2 linked regions of the Oryctolagus cuniculus genome follow. The protein of the gene in region 2 interacts with the protein of the main gene of each other region in a pairwise test. Links are inferred from orthologs where the notes say so. Each region holds a gene or a part of one and is shown on either strand. Other genes may lie near its edges.

Region 1 (4,453 bases), on a different chromosome or scaffold from region 2:
CTCTGAAGCAGCACAGAGGGCTGCCCAGAAAACACCAGGCAGACTGGGCGGAGGCCATTCTCAGGACAGGATACCAGGGCAGGGACCGGGAACCGGAGCTAGAGCTGCAGGAAGTCAGTCCCCTTCCCTCCCAGCTCATTCTGTGCTCTGCTCACTGCTTCCTCACACCTTCCTTCCCCCATTTCCTTCCTCCCCTTCCTTCCAAGCTGACTCCAGGAGGAGCCCTGACAAAGGTGGAGCAGACTGATGATGCTGGGGAAAGGGGGCAGGGAGTGTTGGGAGGACGACAGGTGGGTGCTCTTTGAGCCCCGGAGCAGGAACAGGCAGGCCCTAGGGGTGCTTTGAGAAGCTGGGCAAAACTAGGAAAACTACCTGTGGAGGAGGTGTCAGCACCAAAGGAATTTCTGTGCATTTTGACATTAATTCATGGTAGATGATCATCTCTTCCTAGCATTTAGTTCCAAATCCTCAGTAAATTTAACAAGTGCGAAGGAAGCCTGAGGATTAGGAGGTGCTGCATCCCCTTCCTGCACATCTGCTGCAGCTGCCTAAGGCTGAGGGGCGGGGCCATACCACACAGCTGCGAGGACCTGGAGGTCCCTATAATGGGCAGGAAGGGACTCCCCAGCATTCAAGTCTGTCCGTCTTGTTGCCTGAAGTTGGGAGAAGTAATGAAGGAGAGGCAGAGGCATGGGGAAGGGAGGGAGAGTAGGGTTCCAGCTAAGTGACGTCTGGACCACAAATTCAAGCAATTCCATAGTTTATTTCCTTTAATATACTCGACTGACTTTGTCCCTAAGCTTCTATCTAGCGTGGAGCTTAGGGGAAGGATCATCTTTATTCCTGTAAGGAATGAAGAAGAGGGCTCTGAAGCTTCAGGGTCAGTCAGAGTGGGGGAAGGCAGGACATCTGGGCCCCAAAATGTTCACGAAGCAAAATGGGTTACCCCTGGGCATGCGGACAAGAGCTTTCGGGGGCACCAGGAGACAGCTGATGATGGATCAGGCAGGGAGAGGGGGCTGCCTGAGGAGGAGGAGGCGGGTAGGGCCTGCGACTGCCTCGTCCATCTATCTACACTCCCTGCTCCTATTTCTGTCTCCTCTCTCTGGCTCTTCTTTCTCATCTATTTCTTCCCCTTATGCTTTCAACCTCTCTTTTCCTAGTTTCCCTTCAATGGGCTTTCATCCCCTCAAGCTTTTCTTACCCATCCCACTTGATGGTGGCCATGAATCCTTAGGACTCCTGGCTTCTGTTACTCGGGGTCCCCATGGGACTACTTAGAGCCACTGTTAGGAAGGGGTTTGAGTCCCTGCTGTGTGTGGTAGAAGGGGCCTGCAGATGCAGTGGTGGACTGCCTACTGGCTGGTGGAAGTGCTCACCGTGACATGCGTGAGAGAGAGGCACTGTGCGATTCTGTGTGACCCACTTCTTCATGCATGACAGTACATGCACACGTGTTGGGCACAGGTGCCGCCAAAGTGAGAAAGCAGACAACCAGGGAAGCCAGCAGCCTAAGGCATTGCTGGCAATCTCTTCAACAGAGTGTTTAACCACAAAGGGAAGAGCAATTAAAGCAAATCGCTCTGACAGCCTGGGGGCCAGACACACACCAAACAAGACATACATATTCAGCATGTTCCTCCTAACCCTCTGTTTCCTCCTCCCCAGTTTCTGAGCCTCTTTACCCCACTCTCCAACACTCTTTGCACACCTCTGACCATCTCTCTTTCCCTGGTTCCATGCCTGTATCTCTGTCCCTTTCTCCATATTTGTCTCCTCATAGACATTCCTCTCATTCTCTCTCTCCATCCTTGGCTGACTCATTCTTTTTTTCCTCTCCCTTTCTCCCACTCCCTCCCCCATCTCTTGGCCACTATGAAACCTAGAAACTAGCCACTTCCAGCCCCCTGAGCTCTAACTGTACCCAGCAAGAGGGACAGCCAGACGCCCCTACCCTCCCTCCCACCCAGCCAAGAGCACTGGACCATTAGCCTTCAAGATCCTGTCTCCTTGTCCTAGAGGTGAGAGACCAGGGTTTTCCCTCATCTCTTCTGTTTAAAGAGTAGTAGTCTAAAATCCAGGGCTGGGTTGGGGCCAGTGGCCCCCTCCATCCACTACTCAGCTGTCCTGTCATACTGGCATCTTGGGGCCCACAGTCCAGAAGGCTCCACATGGGAGCGAGTGGGGTTGTGGATGTGTGTGATTTGGCGTGTGTGAGGCGATGTGTGTAAGAGTCACATGGGTGTGTGTCACTGTGTGTGCTGGCTGTCTCTTGTAGGTGTGCGTGTGCCCCTGTCAGTTTCGACACGAACTGTAGGGAATTAATTAGGGGTTTTACGTTAGAGACATCACTCCTCTACACCCCCAGCTCCTTCCTCCTTCCCTCGGGACAACCTTTGCCAATCCCACCTCTTCCCCAGGTGCGGAGAGCCGGCGGTGAGGGCACACGCGGCCGGCGGCCGGCTGCCCGCGGAACTGAGGCGGGGCCGGGCCAGGAGGCGGCCGGCCGGCGGGGGCGAGTCCGGCCGGGGCCGCGAGGGAGGGGCGGGAGCTGGCCCGGCCGAGCCGGCTGGGCGGGAAGCAGGCTGCATCCTAGTTCCCAGGCCCGGGTCCGACTCCAGACTGCCGCTCAGTGGGGAAAGGGTGGCCCAAGCCACGCTGCCCGCAGCACACGCTCGGCGCTCGGGACGCACCGATTGAGAGGACCCGTCCGGGGTCCCCACGCTCCCCTGCCTGTCCGCCAGCGTCCCAGATGGTCATCCCTTCAAACCCAGACCCAAATCTGCTCCCTCCCCGCGACACGTCTCCTCTCCGCCCCTCTCACCGCCTCCAGAGCTGAGCGCTCAGGGAGCGGGCGCTCCGGGGTCCCCGGTTCCTGAGCAGCGTCCGGAGCCTCCTCCTCGGCTGCTGCCGCTGCTGCCGCTGCCGCCGCCGCCGCCGCCTCTTCCGCCCGCGGAGCCGGAGCCCGAGCCCAGCGCCGCCTCACCCCACCCGGCTGGCCGGTGATGTCAGAGCCGGGGAGGGGCGGGGGGCGGGAGCGGCGGAGGAGGGGGCGGGGAGGGGAGGCCGGAGGGGCGGGGGACCGAGGGGCCGGGGTTCTGGAAGGCTCCTAGGACTGGGGACGGCATTGGGCGGAGGGCCGGAGTAGGGACAGCTCCTGTTCTGCCTAAACAATTCTCAGGCTTCATTCTTTCACAGTGGGATCCCCCTCCTCCCCTTGTGACCGTTAGGTGACCACCTTGGCTGGGACCCTGGGAGGTTTAGGAATTTGGAAGGCCTTTGACCTCTGCTTGCTTTGGTATTTGAAAAAAGGTCTTTCCCCAAGCCTGGCGGTGAGGCACTGGTAGTAAACGATCAGATTTACTCGCATTGGGTGTGGGGGATGGGTGAACGGTAGCATGGGGCCCTCCTTGACTTGACCTGGAAGCCCCAGGCCATTGACGGCAGCGGCCCCCTTGTTTTCCTCTCACCTTTCCCCAATATGCACCCCCCTCCTGCCATCCCCCACCATGATGTAATTTTATTTTCTGGGGAGAAAAAGAACAGCAGTGAGCTCAGCATGCAAATATAGACAACTTACAAAGCCGCACTTAGCTTGCCTCCTCGCTCTGTCCCTCTACCCAGGCCTAGCCTGGTAGCTCTCACTTCCCTTTCATCTCAGGGACTTTCCTCCCCCAAATTCTCAGCCATACTGAAAGAGGGAAGGGAGAATTGGGGAAGCAGCTGTTTTCACCCCCAAGGCCAACTCTGATATGGTCTAGTTCTTGGAGGAGGCCCAAGCACCCCCAGTGTTGGTACCACCTCTGGGGACACCCCCATCTTGCCTCATTTCCAGCCTGGCAGAGACCCTTAGGTCTCCACCCCCCTGGGAGAGGCTCAGGCTCCTGCTGCCTTGAGTTTCCCAGCTCTTTGCTCTTCCTCTCTCCCAGGTTGCCCAGTCAGGGACCCTTTGATAGTAAGGCACCCTCCTAAATGTGTCTGTCAATGTTGATCTCCCTTGCTGTCTGTCGTAGGGCCATGCTGTTTCGTTGACCCATCTTTGGAGGCTCAGATACTAGATGACTTCCCCATAGACACGTAGTGTGCAAGTGCAGGGCTCAGTTCTCCTGAGGGCAACAACGGGCATGAGGGCTCCGTGCTGGCTGCACTCCTTCTTTGGACAAGTTATGCCCCAAGCCTCCAGGTCTTTACCAGTATGGTGGGGATGCCAGTGCCTTCTAAGAGTTAATGCTGAGAGCGAGACAGAAATACCCCATCCTGCACTTCATACCCCAGGTGCCCACCGTAGCTGAGGCTGGGCTAGACTGAAGCCAGGAATTCAACCCAGGTCTCCCACGTGGGTTGCAGGAACTCAGTCACCTGCTGCCTCCCAGAGTGAGCATTGGCAGGAAACAAATTGGGGGCAGAGCTAGGACTTGAACCCAGACACTTCAGTATGGGATGTGGGTGTTGC
Region 2 (4,246 bases):
CCTTCCCAGGGTAGACATAACCCCCCATCCTTGGACATAACCATGCTCCTCTTCTGCAAAGGAGCTGTATCATGTAATTATGTTACATTACTTATGCTGAAACAAGAACCAAAAGAAATACAGAAACCTGAAAAAAAGAACAAATAAATAAAAGGGCATTTATGAGAGAGATAAAACCACAGGTTGTATCTTTTTGGAGAGACACCAATGCCAAAATTCTTGTGTTCCGACTGCCTGGGCTGGGACCCCAGCACTGCCATGTGCCAGTTGTATGGTTTGGCTATGCATCAAAATGCCTCATCTACAAAATCCAGATAATAAGATCACCTACTAAACAGGGTTGTTTGGAACATTCAATATGGTCACATTAGTAAAATACTTAGAATAGTGCCTGATACAGTGTATGTAATGTGTGTATTTCTCCACAAACAGTTGATTTGATTCTGTCCCAAGTCTGTTCAATAATTTAAAAATTAGGAGTTTCACAACAGAAAAAAAAAAATTGAGACTCTGTGAAACACTTATATGTTAGACATTGTTTAATCACCCTGCACTAGCCACATCTGGGATCCAGGTTTGACACTGCGCTGTGAATTTCCGGAAGCAAACACACTGGAATGTGTTCCCACATTTGGGTAAATCCCTTACTAATCAAAAACGTCACGGGTTCACAGGAAACTTGGGTTATATGTTTCTCAGTTTAACCCTGCAATAGCTTTTGACCACACCCTAGCAAATAAATTTTATTTTGTGGTGCTAAGACTTGAGGATTGTAAACATAAAAACAGGCCTTGCAGTGACTCAGCCTAGGAGCCAGATCCTACCTGCTGGATACTCCAGCATCCATCTTTAGTAAATACCCATGGTGGACAGGAAATTGTTACACCAAGCAGCCAGCTGGATCAAACTCACTTCTAGTTAAGGAAAAGGCTCCACCTCCCAAGCTCAAGCATAATTTAAACAGGCTGAAGGAGACACAAAACTGTCCATTGTAGTTTCTGTTAGATATGCAGGGCAGGAAACTGTCAACAGTTTCCTTGCCATTCCTTTTGGTTGATAGCTAACCCTCTGAGCATTCTTCTATACAATCCTAACCAGCTCACAAGCTTATCTTCACCCATCCTCTTTAAAAGCAGCTGCTCCTCTAAAACCATGAGAAAACCTCAAGCCTTGCATAGTAAGAAAACTAAAGCTGCAATACAATCATTCAAATGGTGTACACAAAAAAGAGTGTCTTGTGGCTGGGTGATGGTGACACAAGCAAAACAACGCGAATGTATTTAATGCCACGAAAAGTGCACTTAAAAACAGCTAAGATGGGAAATTGTAGGTGGTGTACATTTTACAATAAAAACATACTAAAAAAAAGCTTAAAAAAAAAACAAACCCTGGAACAGCTAAAGGTAAATGAACTTTAGAACTATAAGGAACACCCACTAAGTCATTGGAAACTTCCAAGGAGCAGGGTTCCCCACCACTACCTATATAAGTGAATCAGCAAAACCAAATGAGCCCTACACAGTCCTTAGCACCACGGTTCATAAATCTCTCGGAAAAGACAGGCCCTCCTCAAAGTCTTCATAAGGCATACTTTTTTTTATCTGGATCGTGAGTTGTACTAGATCTTGAGAAGACAGGCTGGGAGCATATATAATGAAAGGCCCCCCAGAAAAACACTTACAGGCTGCCTACAAACTCAGGCTGAAAGGCTTTGTAATGCACTTGCACGCACACTTGTCCGCACGCCTCCAAAGTTAACTCTGAAAGAGCTGCTTATTCAAGTGGGCAGTGGATCAATGCGGCGTCTGTTAACGGCTCAAAACTGTAGACTCCTCTCCTGGACATTTCCAGGGCACCATCATTATCTAATCCATCTAACATATCTCGCAGTGCTCTGGGTTCCTGCTCCCAGAGGCCCTGGGAGGCCCACAAAGGGTTATCTAAAGTTAGCGGTCGCCCAATAAAGCGAAGCTAACTCCCCATTCTGGGGACTAGACCCAGGGGATGATCAAACGGGGAAACTCCTGGTGTCCTTAAAAATCGACTTGCGCTTAGCGCTTCATGGAGGAAGTAAAGAAAGCACTATGACGAGATTAGGAGAAGCATTCACAGGTGTCGCGGTAGCTCTGCACCAAGGCTCCCGGCATCACACAATCTCACCCAACGCTGGGAGGACGGCACGCCTGCATCTGAGACCCGAGTGCCCTGAGAACAGGCTCTGAGCACACGCCCCACTGCCAGCCAGCAGTTCACCCCAGCCCAGCGTCCCCAGGGCCGCAGAAGTTCGGGACCTGGCACTTCCTGGTCCGTCTAGGATGCTGGTGCCACCGCGCCCCTATCCCTGTCATGCCGCGGGGCTTGCTAACCCAAGCGGCGCTGGACGCCCAGGGGGGGGCCCGTGGCTGCGCGAGTCGGGGTGCACCCTGCAGGGCACGCCCCCTGCCTCCGCCCGCAGGCAGCCCAGGTTGTCAGCACCGGATCTCGCGGCGTCCGCGGGAGGCCGGGGGCTGCTCGGCAGTCCACCGCCCACGCGGCGCTGAGGTCCCGTCCAAGCCGGGCGAGGAGCGGCCTGGCTGCGCGGGCCAGCGGGAGGAGGGACGGAGGGCCAGGGCAGCGGCAAGCCAGCTCCGGTGGGAGCCCCGCGAGCCGCTGCGTCCGCGCGCGGCGCCTACCTGCAGGGCGAGGGGGCCGCGGGCACCTGCGCGCTGGCGGCTGGGAGCTCCCGGGGCTCGGGCGTAGCTGGCACAGCTGGAGGCTCGGGAGCGACGAGGGCGGGCCCGGGGGCGCTCGGCGCGGCGCCGGCGCCCGGAACTCGCGGCGCGGATTCGCCCGGGCTGTGCGGGGGTGGGGCGAAGCGGTGCCGGGCGCCGGCAGGCTGGCGGCCCGGCAGGACAGGCGGGCGGGCTCCGCAGCTGGGCCTCTGCCCCTGGCGTTTGGGTCGCTCGGGGGGCTTTGCCTGTATTCCCCCATCCTCGCGGCTGGCAGCCTCTAAGGGCGGACCGAAAGGCGAGCTTTCTTGCTCGGGGTGCTTTAGCTAAGACGTAGGAGCTCTGTTCATGGCATTTATGAGACTCCTTGCGACTCCCTCGGGTAGGTGTTGTCGCCACTCTACAGGTAAGAAAACAGGCTCGGACCGGCGAAGTAGCCGGCGTCTAGACTCCCAGCAGAGATCCCTGGGGACGGGAATTTGTGTCTTGATGTCTCGATAGCTGGATGTCATTCAGACTTCTTAGCATCAAGGGGGGGGGGGGTGGCGACACCGAGAGCAAGACTTGGAAAATTCCCATTACACCCCTCCTCCCCCGATCGAACTGTCCGAACAGCAATTGTGCTGGTTTTCGTCCCCTGAAAGTGTTAATTAAGGAAAGGAGCACCAGCCGTCCAGTCCCGGCCAAGTGACACAATCTTGCACCCCACCGAAAGGCGCAGCCTTCCCGCGCACCGCTGTGCTCACAGCGTGGGCCGTGTGTGCTCCACCGCCCAGGCTGGCCGGCTTCCATAACGTCTCACTGCACACATGGGGCGGCATAAAACTGAAAAGGCGGTGTTCAGTCCAAGGGAGACGAGGGGCGTGAAATTCCAGTCTGCAACTCCGTTTTCCTGTAACCTGCACTTGGCTCGCCCCTTCCCCCCGCCCCACTACATTTTTCTCTCCTGAGCACATCTTTTCCAGTGATGGAAGAGTCACACAGCCTTCACTCCCTCCTTGCCGACAGACCTGATTGATGCCTTTTGAATCCTGGGGTACTGACAGATTTTTACAATTAAGCACAGGGCCCTCTGGCAAGCTTAGCACAAGCATGTTACCGAAAGCCTGAACACTCCCCTTTCTCAAGTTTTATTAGTCACAGATGATGTGATAAGTTTTATGCGAACGAGTAACTGCACTCTTACAGGCTTGTCCCTAGAAGTTATTACACCTTCAGTTCGAGAAGCAGCAGCCCATAAAGCTGCATTCCTCACTCAGAAGTGATTAGTAAAACATTTGGCACTAGCTACAGCCCTGGGTCTTTCTACTGAGGAGCCTTAGAAATAAGGTTATTTAAGTGCCTTCACAATAGCTCAACTTCTGCTTCCCTGGGACAGGAGACTAAATAGGAAGATGCCCTGTGAGGTGAATGTAGGTACAAAGTAGCGGATCCTGTATGTAATTATCCCCCGCACCCCCCAGCTTTGTTGACTGTTCATTTGTTTGGCCTATATCTTTCATACCCACAGAGATGTCAAAAAAAATGATAAATCCTAT

What was found.
Region 1: the proteins of PLD1 (region 2) and PEA15 interact in a two-hybrid assay, tested with the Homo sapiens proteins (2 studies listed by BioGRID). The link is inferred for Oryctolagus cuniculus from reciprocal best matches to the Homo sapiens genes PLD1 and PEA15.

Annotation. Positions count from the first base shown.
Region 1 is NC_091438.1:38,719,443-38,723,895, forward strand, and holds the start of PEA15 (astrocytic phosphoprotein PEA-15), read right to left. Parts: upstream 3,008-4,453; 5' UTR 2,825-3,007; intron 1-2,824. UniProt on the Homo sapiens protein: Blocks Ras-mediated inhibition of integrin activation and modulates the ERK MAP kinase cascade. Inhibits RPS6KA3 activities by retaining it in the cytoplasm. Inhibits both TNFRSF6- and TNFRSF1A-mediated CASP8 activity and apoptosis.
Region 2 is NC_091435.1:108,448,130-108,452,375, reverse strand, and holds the start of PLD1 (phospholipase D1), read right to left. Parts: upstream 2,813-4,246; 5' UTR 2,673-2,812; intron 1-2,672. UniProt on the Homo sapiens protein: Function as phospholipase selective for phosphatidylcholine. Implicated as a critical step in numerous cellular pathways, including signal transduction, membrane trafficking, and the regulation of mitosis.